Linked DNA regions of Saccharomyces cerevisiae S288C. Changing the gene in region 4 together with the main gene of any one other region gives a genetic interaction. Each region holds a gene or a part of one and is shown on either strand. Other genes may lie near its edges.

Region 1 (3,590 bases), on a different chromosome or scaffold from region 4:
ATAGTAGTCAAATAGTTGATATCTAAAGAGCTGCCGAAGGGGGTTTCTGTATCCGCGTAAGTAATTTTTTGAAATTTTAATGTGATTTTTGGCGGAATGGTGTGAGTGGTTCACTTCTCATCTTCAATTTCATCGTCTTATATTTCGATAATAAAACAATACAGTGAGCGTTGTTATTAAGTAAATCATAGGCACTTGGTATCATATAATTCAAAATCAAGTAGTTGTAGTAGTGCGTGTGTGCGTGTTAGTAATTGTTGATGGCCTAGTTCATCTCCTTATTGAAAAATGATAAACAGGTGGCAGTTTCAATTGTAGTAAATATTTATTCATTTTTTTATTATTGCTAACGTATCTGAAGGCTACGATGTAACGCAGCTCATCTCTTTTAAACATAAAAGTCATTTGTGTAATGTAGAGATTTACAAAGATTTTAAAAAAATAACAAAACTATACAAAACTATCTATATTTGAATACTTCCTACTATTTTTTTTTTTTTAACTATAATGAATGAATGCATGCCATATTGACTTACGTAACAAGGTGGCCTATTGGTAATATATTACATATCATCATCCTATATGTGTAGCATAATTTGTCCATTCTTTATCCGCATTCAGGCACTCCCAATCTTTATCTCTAAGGCAAAGAGCAACCACCATTTCACCTCTGGAGGATCTAGGCATAAAATATATTAGGCTCTCAAGGGAAATGAAGCGCGGCCGTCGTACACTCTTGGGCTTCCCAAGCCCTAGATTGAAATCAACGTCATACAGGCTGACTTTTGCCCACGAACTGACCATAATTCCAGATAAAGTATCAATTGGTTGAGGTATAGAAACCTTAGTCTTGTCCGGGCATCGGCTAAGGAGCGTAGCAAGTGCGCATGTATTATAGGCCAAATCGAAGACTTTAGGGTCTAGCTTCCTGCGAATCTGTGATGCAAGAACGCCCAAACTTTTATGATCCAAGCTTTTCAGGGAACCTGTATTAAAGGTCATGTTGACTAATAACCCTGGATACGTTTCGGGGAGTCCTAGCCGTTTTCTAACATCCACAGCACGCCCTAAATTTGATTTCGTTTCTGGTTTAAGTCGAGATAAACGGGCTCGAGAAACTGATTTCCAGATGAAAGCAGTGACGATATCATCAGTGGAGACAAATTTTGTGCCAGAAGTACATGTCTGCATTGCCAAAATCCTCAGATTCTGCAATGAGATAGCAGAAAATTCAACATAAGCCCAAGTAGAGTTCGAAGAACAAGACTGTTCCTTTTCCTCTCCACTTGTATTTCTAGAGGTTTCCACTATTTCATGAACTAGCGTGGTGTCGGGTTCCCAAGTTTCATCAAACAAAGGAATAGATTTGCTTTTATCTATATTTCCAATGAGCAGTTCTTCATCAGAGAAAGGTTTTTGGTGGCAAGATTTATTGAGCAAGTTGATGATACTTTCCTGTCCTGTTATATCCATAATATTGTGCTGCCCGACAATAGTTAAGACGAGGCCGCCGGAGATAAAGTTTGCTTGAACTGCAAATACAGGCCCACTCTTGGCGGCCATACCTATAGTGTTTCCAGGTGGATTGATAGTCATGCAAGGCGCAAAAGTCTTTTCGTCTAACATGTAGATAGGAAAGTCAGCTTTTTCAAGCGAATCCATTGTTGGGGCAGACAGATCTTCTCGAAGATCTTGGACGATAAGTGGAATTTTGTCTGACGGGACAATTCTGTAGGTACCAGTGTTACCTTCGTCAGCACCTTCATTTACGACATTTCCTGCTAGCCACTGGAAATTTTTAGCCAATGTTTCAAGTCCTCTTGTTAAGGTATTTACGATATGGTCATGAGCAGAAGGATCTGGTACACGGTAGATAGAGCATATTTGAGTGTATAGTTTGTATAGCGAAGGTTGTTGTCCCAAAATATCAAGTTGATCGTTTTCTAGCATCTGTACACTTTTTGTACGTTTCTGAGAGATGATCTTGACTCTAAACATCCATCTACCTTCAAAGTGAAATTTATAGTCACGTCCGTCATTATGCACGTCTTAAACATTAAAATCTTGATAAATACACTGTAAAAGCTTTAACGTTATTGGAATAGAAACTCTCATCACTCAGAGACCATCAGTTACCTGCAAAACGTTTCATATTTGTATATAAACCATGAGATTAAGTGGTCTGAAATTATGTATCATTTTTTGCATTCTAGCATGCCACAGCAAGGGGGTACACGTATTTTTTGATGGTGAATAAGATAGAAATGCATACCGTGATACTTCAAGCTGGCACTATCTTTATATCTTCCTCCGTATATAGCACTTGAAGCTCTGTATCTAGAATATCCTCTTTAGTCCGGGACGTGCCTCCAAATACTTACGGATTGGCGAAAAATATGCACTGAAATGTGTGCAAATTAACCAAAATAGGGCAGGCAGTAAAAAGTTCTAATGATTTTTCTATTTGATCAAGATAAAATAACCTTCTGCTGAGGACCGCACATTGACGTATATACACTGCTTTTAGTTTTGTAGATACAAGATATTTGTTAAAAGAAATTGAATTAGGAGTATTTATCTACAGCTGATGCAATTTCGGCGATATCTTTAGGAGACGTTCTACAACAACCGCCAATAATGCGCGCACCATTATCAACGAATTTCTTAACCGTGGTCTCCCAGTCATCCAACTTATTAGTCGGCCGGTGCCATGTCTTCTCTTTGGGATTGTAGATTTCTCCACTGTTTGGGTAAACTAGCAGAGGCATGCCAGGTAGATGCTCGTGCAACATTTTAAGAATTAATGCCGATTGATTGAAACTGACACAGTTAACTCCCATTAATAAGAGATTCTTGTTAATTTTATTTCCGAGGCCTTTTATATGGACAGAAATTTCTTCCAAAGTGGTACCGTCTCGTAGCAAACTATTGTCATCCACCGACAACCCAATATAAAAGGGCTTCGAAATAATATCTTCATCCCAGGATAAAATAGCCTTTAACTCATGAAAATTTGGAATCGTTTCAAAACCAATAAGATCAATATCTCTATTTTGGTTGAAGTTCTCCAGCTGGGGTTTGAAAAAGCCGTAGTAATCAATATTCTCAGGATGGGGACCATAGTCACCAGTATATTCACAGGATACATGTGCTGCCCATGGGCCAATACTCCCGATTAAGTACCTTTCCTCACCAATAAATTCACGAGTAAATGACACGATTTTATCGAGAAAACGCTTGTAAGCAGCCAGAGTTTTAATCGAGGTATTCTCAGATATGCTTTGAAAGTTTGCCTGGTAAGTAATTGTCATTAATATGTTTGCGCCAGCAATCATAAAGTCTCTGTACATTTCTTCTACCACCTTTCGCTCTTGAGAAGATGGCTCCCAAAAGGATTCGCTCGTAAAAGGAGCTGCAGACCATACCGGACTATTTATGTTAATGCCTCTGTTTTCCAATTCTGTACCCTGTCCACCATCAAGGATAAGAACTTTTCCGGGGTGCTCAACTATTAGTTCTTTGATTGGAATGCGCTTCATCTGTTTTTTGATTACTTTTTCAAGTTGCACACTAAAAGTTGCTGATTCAGA
Region 2 (2,596 bases), on a different chromosome or scaffold from region 4:
TAAAAAGCGCAGGCGTTGTGCGCTTGGTTTGTGTAAGTTAACCAAAAAAGTTAAAAGTATAAGTCTTCTGCATCAAACTAACAGAAAAAAAATTTTTTTTACACTTGAAATGGTTATTGTCTGCTTATTGTGAAGTACGAACATCCTAACAAACGTTGTATGTTGCTTTCTGCGTTTTTCCTTACAGTGCTAGCGTAGAGAATATGAAAAAGAGGGAAATTAAGCAACTGCTTTTTCTATGATTTACCACTGTGAGCCCAAAACTTAACGTGCACCAACACGTGTGCGGCAACCTGGCTGGCCTCTCAATGTAGAAGTAACTGGTTTTCTTCTTGCCCTTTATTTTCTTGTTTTTTAGAACCAATCTCGAGCACTTGGATAATGCAAAACAAATACAATCTATGTCTTCCACACCATCATTTTACTATGCCTGCCACCATACATTTGTCTTTTGCACCATATCTTCATAACCTGTCACCTTGAAACTAAAAAAATATTCACAATGGTGCATGCTTGAAGCACAAACTAGATTAATTTGTTGAGTAAATCATGTGGTTCCAAGGAACAAAAAAAAAAATGCATTACATCACGTTCCTTGCTCTGTATCTCTTCACCTGCAATTACTCAAAAGAAAAAAAGAAATATAATTTTCCTTTGAGCACCCTTGGTAACTTATCTAAGAACACGCGATGTAATCGAAATTTAATAACCTAAAAAAGAAATAGAGATCGGTGACGTTTGACGCTAGCCAATCTCCACGAGATTTATCTGGAAGGGCATCACCCGTCAAAACACTAAGAAATTTGACACCTTATTTTTTTTTCTCCGAAACGTTCTGAGACGTTTCTTTTTTTTTCAGGACGCCACCCTAAATCCGAAAAACCTTACTTGGCATTAGTGTTGTAAAAATTTCTTTTTTCCATCGTGGTTCTGAAAAGCTTGCAGAAAAAAAGTTCGAGAACGTTTTCGTATGACTTATTAAGCTGCCCTTGAACTTGCCTTCCCTCTTCTTTACTATTTTCAGCCAGGGACAGAAATAAAGCAAAATCGTTTAACTTTTATGACCGTAACAGGTAACAATATCTGCTCAATTCGGTTAGTAAAAAAAAAAAGGTTATCGTAGGTTTACTATTTTCACATCGGTGCATAGAATCTATACTCTACTTCCTTTGGAGGGAATTTAGTAGTGCTCGATTAGCAGATAACAGCGCAGGGTTCTATGTAGTACGAAGCACTATCAGGTTTTTTAACGTACGTGAGTTGTTTTTTGTTTCTAATTTTTGGCTTGCCTGGGATAAACGGTGCCCATCAAATTATTAAGACCTGGTGAAAAGAGCGTACCTACATGGGTATCGGGGTTTTTGCCAGAAAGAGCTTTAACTGCAATTGATGCCTACCGGAGATTATTTTGATATCAAAATGCAGGAACGATATCTACTTCCCTAAAGCAGAAAACAAAACATTTTTTTAAAAGTCTTTCTTATATAAAGGTAACCTTCATTTCATGATAGCCAGATGATAATCTTAATGTAACAATTGGAGGATACCAGCATCCCTCCACACCTTCAAATGTCTATACCCCATTCCGTATTTTCGGCACTCTTGGTCTTCGTGGCGCTAGCTACTACAACCTTAGCCAGTACAGAAGCTTGCTTACCAACAAACAAAAGGGAAGATGGTATGAATATTAATTTTTATGAGTACACAATAGGCGACCAAACCACATACTTGGAGCCTGAATATATGGGCTATGAATACTCCAATACAAAGAAGTTAGGTTCCGTTAGCGGACAGACCAATCTCTCCATATACTATAGTCCGCCTTGTGAGAGCACTCCTACCTGTGTGACTTATGCAGTTTTGAAGCGTGATGAGGATGGATATGATCCTTGCGGACCTCTTTATGAAACTAAAAAACGTGACACTGAATACTGTGACCCAAATACTGCCTATTGGAGTTCTGATCTTTTTGGTTTCTATACTACTCCAACTAATGTAACTGTGGAAATGACAGGGTACTTAATATGGAGTATGGGCAACCGACGCCGTTGAACCTCTCCTTGGAGATTCTGATAATTTTATGACCATGACTTCTCGTGCACCTTACAGGAAACTTTAATGGCCTGATAAGTACAGCTATATTGTGATCACAATTATTAAAAACTAACTCATTTCATCTATAACCAAGTACAAATCGCACGACTATCATGACGATAAAAGCGTATATCCTTGATTTAATTCACATCACAATCACCCCCCTTGAAAAAAAAATAAATTTTTTTTCTTGCTATAATAGCATAATTGTCCACAAGTTCACTATTAGTGCTATCATTCTTCCCCACTGCCGCAAAATTGCAAAGGAAATAATTGTTTGCCCTGCAGGAACCATATACTAAAGAAGAAATAGATGCTATTAGCCTCTTCAACTGTCCGTAATCACTACATCTTGAAAGGTAAAATGCAAGTAGCAATGTGTTTACTTAAGGAAGCGCATCTACATCTTCTTTAGAACCATCTGTCGATTCAAGCGGATTAGAAAGAGGAAGCGTGATAAGCGCACACTGACACTTTGTCGTAAACTTATCAACTAATGTGC
Region 3 (4,212 bases), on a different chromosome or scaffold from region 4:
AACTGTGATGGGAGTTTTTTTCTTGTTGCATAAATGAACGTGGGCGAGGTTTTTATTTTCAAACTTGGTGTACTATAGTGCAATGCGTTGTTAATTGTAATACGATGTTTCTTCGATAAAAGGAGCGGAGGGAGAAGGTGAAATTACGAAGGAAAGAAAGAGATGAGAAATCAAGAATGAAGCAAGACATTGATTGATATGGTTGTTTTCGGTGCATGTTTGATTACTAAAAGTTGGGGCATTCGATGGTTTACAGAAGTCATAAATTCAAATATCCCGTTTAATCGCTCATCTATTAAAATCAATAGTAGAATGTAGTTTCATACCCGGGAGAAATTCATAGTTTAGATCACGCTTAATAATGTCAATCTTGTCTTGCTGAAATGAAACTTAAACATGTTTATGTGTAATGTTATTTATTAATTATTAACTGTATCTGTAGGAGAAGAAACTATGTATTGTGCAAGTAGTTCAGGTGTTTGCAAATTGATGCTCTTAGAAAATGAAACGTAGTGTTTATGAAGGGCAGGGGGGAAAGTAAAAAACTATGTCTTCCTTTAAGTGTTTTCTTTATAAACTCTTTCCACATCTGGCTTGACAGCCGCTAGAATATCTCTTCTCTTTAATTTTTGGGCGGATGTAACAAGGCCATTTTCTGGAGTCCATTCTTCTTCAAAGAAAACAATGCCACATAATAATTCAATACCATTCAAGCCTTGAGATTTGGCAGTTGACAGCATATCTTTGCAAACGGCATCCTGTAGCTTCTTTTCATGGATATAGCTTTCGACATCTTCACCTGGTACCATTATACCTAATTCGATAGCCAGCTTAGACAAGTGTCCTAAGTTAGGGACCACAATACCGACAGGCTTAACTTTGTTTTCATCAGCGTAGACACAGATGTTTTGGACGTAAGGATTTGATCTGTAAATGGATTCTAATTTTTCCAATGCAATGTACTCACCATTTAAGGTCTTAACCAAATTTTTCTTTCTATCAATGATCTTAACTTGTCCCTTGGGGGTCCATTCAGCGATATCACCGGTACGGAACCAGCCATCATCGGTAAAGGCCGCAGCAGTTTCTTCAGGATTCTTATAGTATTCAGAACAGATGGGTGCACCCTTAAACAGCAATTCACCTTGATTATTCTTGGCAAAATAGCCCAAATCTTCGACATCCACCAATTTAGCTGTAATAGTTCCGACAAGGTCACCAGCAATACCGTAATCAAAATGTTCAGGCTCCAGGACACAGGCATTAGCCACACCCTCAGTTAGCCCATATCCAATGAGCATAGGACATAGAAGGTTGGAGAGGAATTTTTGGGCGTCTATGCTGATTGCAGACCCACCGTTCAGAATAAACCTTAAGTTTCCACCGGTTGCTTCTCTGATTCTCTTGAAGATCAACCCACTCAGCAAGCCGCTACATGGTATATTTCTCTCTTTCAAAGCATAGACAGTCCAGAAAAGCGTTTGAGACCAACCGGGCAATTCGTTGATCTTGGCCAGGATACCTTTTCTCACTGTTTCCCAAACTGCGGCGACACCCACCATTACGGTAGGTTTAAACTCCATCAGGTCACCTTGGCAATTACGTGTAGAAGTTGGGGTTAAAGTCTTGACATTGGCGTACCCTAGGATACCATTCCAGTAGAACGCTTCGAATTCAAAGGTTAATTCAAAAATATGAGCCAATGGCAAGAATGCGATAATACGGTCTGTTGGGCCAATCCATCCGATAACGTTATGGCCCACACCACCAATACCAGCTACAATGTTGTAATGTGTCAATACCACACCCTTTGGTGTACCAGTGGAACCAGAAGTGTACATGATACAAGCTGGATCTTCAGGCTTGGGGAAATGCAATTCAACCTCGTCCTTGGCCTTTTTACCTATCTCAATAATTTCATCGAAACTGTAGATTTTTATGTCCGGTCTAACTTCCTTGATTTTGTCAACAGCATCCTTGGCAGCCTTGTAAAGCTTACCATTTTGTCTTTTGTCACTTGGATCGATGGGTTCGTTGTGAATGACGAATTTTACGTTCTTGGCGGTTTTCAAAGGAACTGCTAATTTGGACAACAGCTGGTTGTCCGTGAAAATGGCGACGGAATCTGTTTCCACCATGGAGTGAATCAAACCGCTCTCACCCAAAGTGTCGTACGCGGTGACCACAGGAATACCTTGTGACATGCAACCAAGAAAAGTTTTCATCCACTTGTGAGAAGTAGAGGCAAAGATGTGGAACTTGTTCTCACCGTTAGGTTTAACACCAATCTTTATCAGCCCACGTCCAATGTCGTGCATTACGCAGATCATCTCCTCGTATGTCATGGTTATGTAGGGAGTCAGTTCGTAGTACAACCATGTTTTTTCGATGGGCTTATCCTTACCATCCACCCTCTTGACTATGGTTTTTTTCGTCTCATGTATATCTATAATATCTCTCCATGCCATACCGTCTCTCTTACCACCCTTGGTAAAACATTCCAGGGCGAATTCGTACAGTGTAGATGCTGAGGAGTTTATGGGTCTAATCAAAGGCTGGTCTTTAACCCTGATATTTCTTCTTGGAGCGGTTTCATGCTCATTGGCGGCTTCGCCAACTGCAACGGAATATTGTTCGGTCATTTTGATGCGTACTTCTTAGTTTTTCAAGAAATAGTGAAGAACAGAGAAAAAAATGATGTGTTACTAATGCTGGTTCTTTTGTATTCTCGCTTTTATGTCAACTCAGAGGGGTTGCAAACAAAAGAAAGAATGATCAGTTATTGTCTATCTGTTGAGCCTTATCTGAAAGAGGTAGAACAAAAGATGGGCTGTTTTTGTTGGGGTAAAGCGGCGCCGCGAATGTTCTTAATGAGGTGAAAAGAATGCAGAAGAGAAAGATGAGGGCTAAGAGTAGAAAGAACGAGATGAACGAAGGCCGAGAAACACCCAGAATAGAAAAATAGATCGCCGACAATCGAGGGTTCTTAATTGATGGGGACATCGTTGGAGCTTATATAAGTTTGCCGCTACTTGGCGAAGATGGTTGAGCTGGGCGGTTCGGTTTGCGCTTTTGTCTTTCTTGTTACTAAGTATGATTGTTTTTTGTTGGGAAACGGCAAAGACGCGCAGCCAAAAAGCCGAACAGTTTAGTGAGTCTCTTCTTTAAGCGCCCAACACGCTCCATCGTGTTGGATAAAGCGTATGCAACAATTATTTCGGCATCGAACCCGCGGAATAAGCATCGGCTCGGGAGATATTTTTGTTTAGTTGGTATTGTTATCGTGTATAAATTTCTGTCCCTGTGCATTGTGATGTAAATGGCCTATTGTATTGTCAGGTCCCTGTCCGTTCCTTGATGGTATATTGGCACCTGAGCAAATCCAACAAAACCGGGCTCGCCCGCGCGGAAGAAAGTGCGATTGACGATTGTAGCTGAGCTGAACAAAAGAGACGGACATGTGAAACGGTGCTGCGGTGGTAGGTGCTGCTTTGTAGAATGGGGGAGAAGATTCGCCTACATACATACATACATACATACATAGACGGGTACTATTGTAGCGCTGCGCAGGAACATAGATACACGAATATACAGAAAGGAATAGTAGTAATATAGCGATGGGCTTATTTTCATTTGATGGTGGCAAAAAGGAATCACAACCCCCTAATACCCGTTCACAGAGAAAGTTGTGCTGGGAGTCCAGGGACGCATTCTTCCAGTGTTTGGACAAGGCAGACATCTTGGACGCAATGGACCCCAAGAATAGCAAGAGTATAAAGTCGCACTGCAAGGTGGAAAATGAAAAATTTGAGGAGAATTGCGCCCATAGCTGGATCAAGTACTTCAAGGAGAAGAGGGTCATCGACTTTAAGAGAGAGCAGACCATCAAGAGAATCGAGCAGGAAGCTAAACAGAGGGAACGAAATCAGTGAGTTTTTAGTGAGTTATTGGCTCATATTAACATATATATTCCCATAAAACATTTGACAGAAAGGTAATAATTAAAGGATAGTCATGTAGATACAAACGAAAATTTTATGTTTTTTTCTTCGTTTTGCGAAAATTCGCATGAGTGTCTCTGTATATATATATAACAAAAAGATGAAAAAAGGGAAGGTAGAAAAAACCGCGCTAAGTTTTGGCAGTGACGGTGACTGTCTTGTACTTGGTCTCGGTGACCGTTGTGGTAATAACGTCTAGCGGATTCAGTTC
Region 4 (3,341 bases):
AAATAAAGAATGGATTCCAATATTGAATAACTCTGTGGAATCGAAATTCTTGACAGGGAATACAGTTAACAAAAATTTATGGAAAGGTACGGTATCTACTGATTTACAGGTCCTCGACCTACATAGTCCAGAAAATTTCCAGCAGATAGCAGAAATTATATATCGCGAAAATATTAAAAAGCTTGATTCAGACATTGTAATATTAGGTTGTGCAGGATTCTCGGGTTTGCAAAATAAACTGGCGAAAACATTCCAAAGGGATGGCACGCTGTTTCTGGACACGATTGAGATCGGTTTACAGATTCTAATCACTATGATAAGATTTGTCAACTCACAAAAATAAATAGAAATATGATTGTTTTTTATAGAGTGTAAATTTTAATGTTTTGTCGTGAAGAAGAAGAAGTAAATAAAGTAGCGTGGGGATAGCGAAATGAAAACATTCAATTATCAAAACAAAAACTTTTAACTACATTTATACCTTTACTTTTAAAGTGCCAAGAGTGCATTGGTTTAAAATATACAGTAGTTAAGTATTTATCAGTACCCCCAAACTCTTATTCTTTTCACTCCTCCATCTGGAATAATCGTTAATTTGACATGGGAGACTCTTATACTCTTACGTATTTCATACACATGTTCTTTGTCAGGCCCCGTCTTTGACTTACCAACTAGCTCTACCCATGTTCCTTCACCAGTGTTCTCACTTGATTCTGACTCCTTCAAGCAACCTTCCACGGTAATGAACTGAGGGAAGTTCCCCCTGAAGTGTGCCGTATCAACAATAATCTTCTCAATGAAAGAAGACTCCCTGCCCAGTTGAATTACCGCCCAATCAGTATGACCTGGTTGTCTCGATCTTTTGGTTTCCCAGCCGTCCGACATATCATGACCTCGACCTGGCAGTAGCAAATTATCAACTGAACCGAAGTGTTGGTCAGAATACTTTAAAGCGACAGCACCATTGCAAACATAAGCCAAGTCAATTATATGATCCTTCGTTTTGAGTTCTGGAGGAACAACTCTTCCGTATAATCTAAATCTGGCGATTCCTCCATCGGGGTACATCTTCAGCTTGATGTGAGTAAACCTTTCTTTAGTAAGGCCGTTGCCTCTAACGAAAAGATGCCTTTGCGAAGGACCACACTCAAATTTCTCAACAATCTCAACCCAACGCGAGTCATCTTCCACTATATTACCTTCTTCGCCCTCGTCATAGAGCGCCTCTATTGATACAAATGGTGCATGATTACCATTGAAAAACGCAGTGTCAATTTCACCACCAATAATATGGGCAGCAGCGACTCCCATCTTGATGATAACCCAATCGTATTCCATCTCATTATGTCTTCGTGTTTCCCAGCCGTCGTACCATGCGCCTGAATGAACAAATCTGGTAGGATCCCTTATAGGAGCAGTTGGCTGAATTAAATTTTCAGCAGAAGCAAACCATTCATCTGAAAAAGAAACCACTTGACCACCTAACTTAGATCCTATAACATCTACTGCTTTGTTTTTTGAAATGATTATTGACTTAAATTCTGCCTCATCTGCCAAACTAAAAAACTTCATTTTTCTAAAGAAGAGACCGATTAGATACAATTAATTGTTTGATCGGCTTCATAATTTCCCCATATCATAGCAAAATGCACTTCCATTCCTTTATAGCATTTGATCTCAGAAAATGTGTCTATAATTTAGACTTTTCTTCCAGCTGAATTTCATTGTGGTTCCTGTGTTTTTATCTTATCGCTAATTCGAGTCAAAGATAAGATGTCGGAATTATCCGGAGTTCTGATAGGCTCAAACAAGCGCAAGTTTGGTAGGTTGATGACGGTTTAGCTAATCATCAGTACATTATTCAGACGGGAATGCATGTATGAAGCTGATAAATTTGATTAAGAAAGGTACATAAAAATACACAGAACGAATATTAAGGTGTTTTGAAGAAATTATCAATTCTCCTGATCACTACTGGTAAGAGAATAAATTGGGATTTTTATTTAGTAAACTATCTTTTCCTCGGTGCCATCATAGATACTGACTGTGTCATCGCAGAGGTCATCCCTACGTAACTCATTCTTCCAATCTTGCTCGAAGTCCTCAACATAAGCCCATCTTTGGAACCATCCTTTCTCTGTCAGAAAATTGGTTACGGGAGTACCAGGGACAGGAAAAAAGTAACATAATATGAGGTATATCACCGCACTAATAAAGAAACCTACCGGATAACCTAAATAGTATAACCTCATTGCACCCTCTGAAACCGTAATTTTTGGAGCTCCAACATCACCTATAAAACCTGGTAAATTTGGAGCGATACCGCAAATATACGCAACAAAGGCCCTCCAATTGGCACCAAATTTGTTTCCAAACATGTAAAAGGAACCCTTCTGTGCCAGGAATAAATGTGTTAATTTCACATATCCTCTTCTTACTACGAAATAATCCGCGCAAATGACACCAGCAATACTGGAAAGGAAAATTGCATAAGCACCCAAAGCGCTGGTGAACTTACTTGAACTGGCCATTAAGTTCCATGGACAGATACATAGAGCCATTGCCACACAGAATAAAGAACCTCTTCTAATATTAATATATCTTGGAAACAAAGCCGTCATATCAGCACCACATGCCAGAGAGTTGGCAGAAATGTTTGTACCCAGTTGAGCTAAGGCAAATACAAAAGAAATCAAGAACACACCAGCCCTAGTACCTCTGGTGTAAGTGGTCTCCAAAAATTGACCAAGTACATCCAGTGGTGACCAATAGTTAACCCCATATAAGTGATAACCGGCCGCAGTAACAATGATACCGATCAAACATGTTATGGCGAAGAACAATGGGATGGCAACCAATTGTGGCCACAAAGACGCTTGAGGATTTTTGGCAAATCTACCGAAGTCAGGGGCGTTGATAATCAAAGCGGCAAAGTTAGCAACACAGGCCATTAGGGATCTAACGAATATCCATGAAAATTCGGAACCATGAGGTGAATAATCATTCAGCGTCCCCAACTCAATTTTACCGTGCGATTTCTTCAAAGCCCAGATTAAAAATCCAAAGGCTGCGAAGGGGATCAAAGCTGCTTTTACTGTGAATAAATGCCTGATTTTATGAGGAGCCACTAGGACAAATGGTATACTGACCACCCAAAATATAAAGAAACACATGAATTCAAAAGTAGTGCTATTTGGAGAACCAAAATGGTTTGGGATTCTATCTTCCAGATTCTTGCCAAAAATAGATTTTAGCATCAGTGCCACGGGCGTTGCACCTAACCAGGCTTGCACGGCATACCATACTATAGCCATCACGACACGATTTATAATCGGCCACAT

Evidence for each region.
Region 1: mutations in DAL2 (region 4) and AYT1 together harm fitness more than expected from each alone (negative genetic interaction), as found in Saccharomyces cerevisiae (one large-scale study listed by BioGRID).
Region 2: mutations in DAL2 (region 4) and YFL051C together harm fitness more than expected from each alone (negative genetic interaction), as found in Saccharomyces cerevisiae (one large-scale study listed by BioGRID).
Region 3: mutations in DAL2 (region 4) and FAA4 together harm fitness more than expected from each alone (negative genetic interaction), as found in Saccharomyces cerevisiae (one large-scale study listed by BioGRID).

What each region holds. Positions count from the first base shown.
Region 1 is NC_001144.5:14,075-17,664, forward strand, and holds AYT1 (acetyltransferase), read right to left. Parts: upstream 1,999-3,590; coding exon 574-1,998; downstream 1-573. Other genes in the region: S-adenosylmethionine-homocysteine S-methyltransferase MHT1, read right to left, coding at 2,565-3,539.
Region 2 is NC_001138.5:29,514-32,109, reverse strand, and holds YFL051C (uncharacterized protein), read left to right. Parts: upstream 1-1,569; coding exon 1,570-2,052; downstream 2,053-2,596. Other genes in the region: ZNF1 (DNA-binding domain containing protein), read right to left, coding at 2,481-2,596.
Region 3 is NC_001145.3:758,237-762,448, reverse strand, and holds FAA4 (long-chain fatty acid-CoA ligase FAA4), read right to left. Parts: upstream 2,643-4,212; coding exon 558-2,642; downstream 1-557. Other genes in the region: COA6 (Coa6p), read left to right, coding at 3,618-3,932; YMR244W (uncharacterized protein), read right to left, coding at 4,132-4,212. UniProt on the Saccharomyces cerevisiae protein: Activates long-chain fatty acids (LCFA) by esterification of the fatty acids into metabolically active CoA-thioesters for subsequent degradation or incorporation into phospholipids.
Region 4 is NC_001141.2:409,038-412,378, reverse strand, and holds DAL2 (allantoicase), read right to left. Parts: upstream 1,573-3,341; coding exon 541-1,572; downstream 1-540. Other genes in the region: DCG1 (Dcg1p), read left to right, coding at 1-343; DAL4 (allantoin permease), read right to left, coding at 2,004-3,341. UniProt on the Saccharomyces cerevisiae protein: Utilization of purines as secondary nitrogen sources, when primary sources are limiting.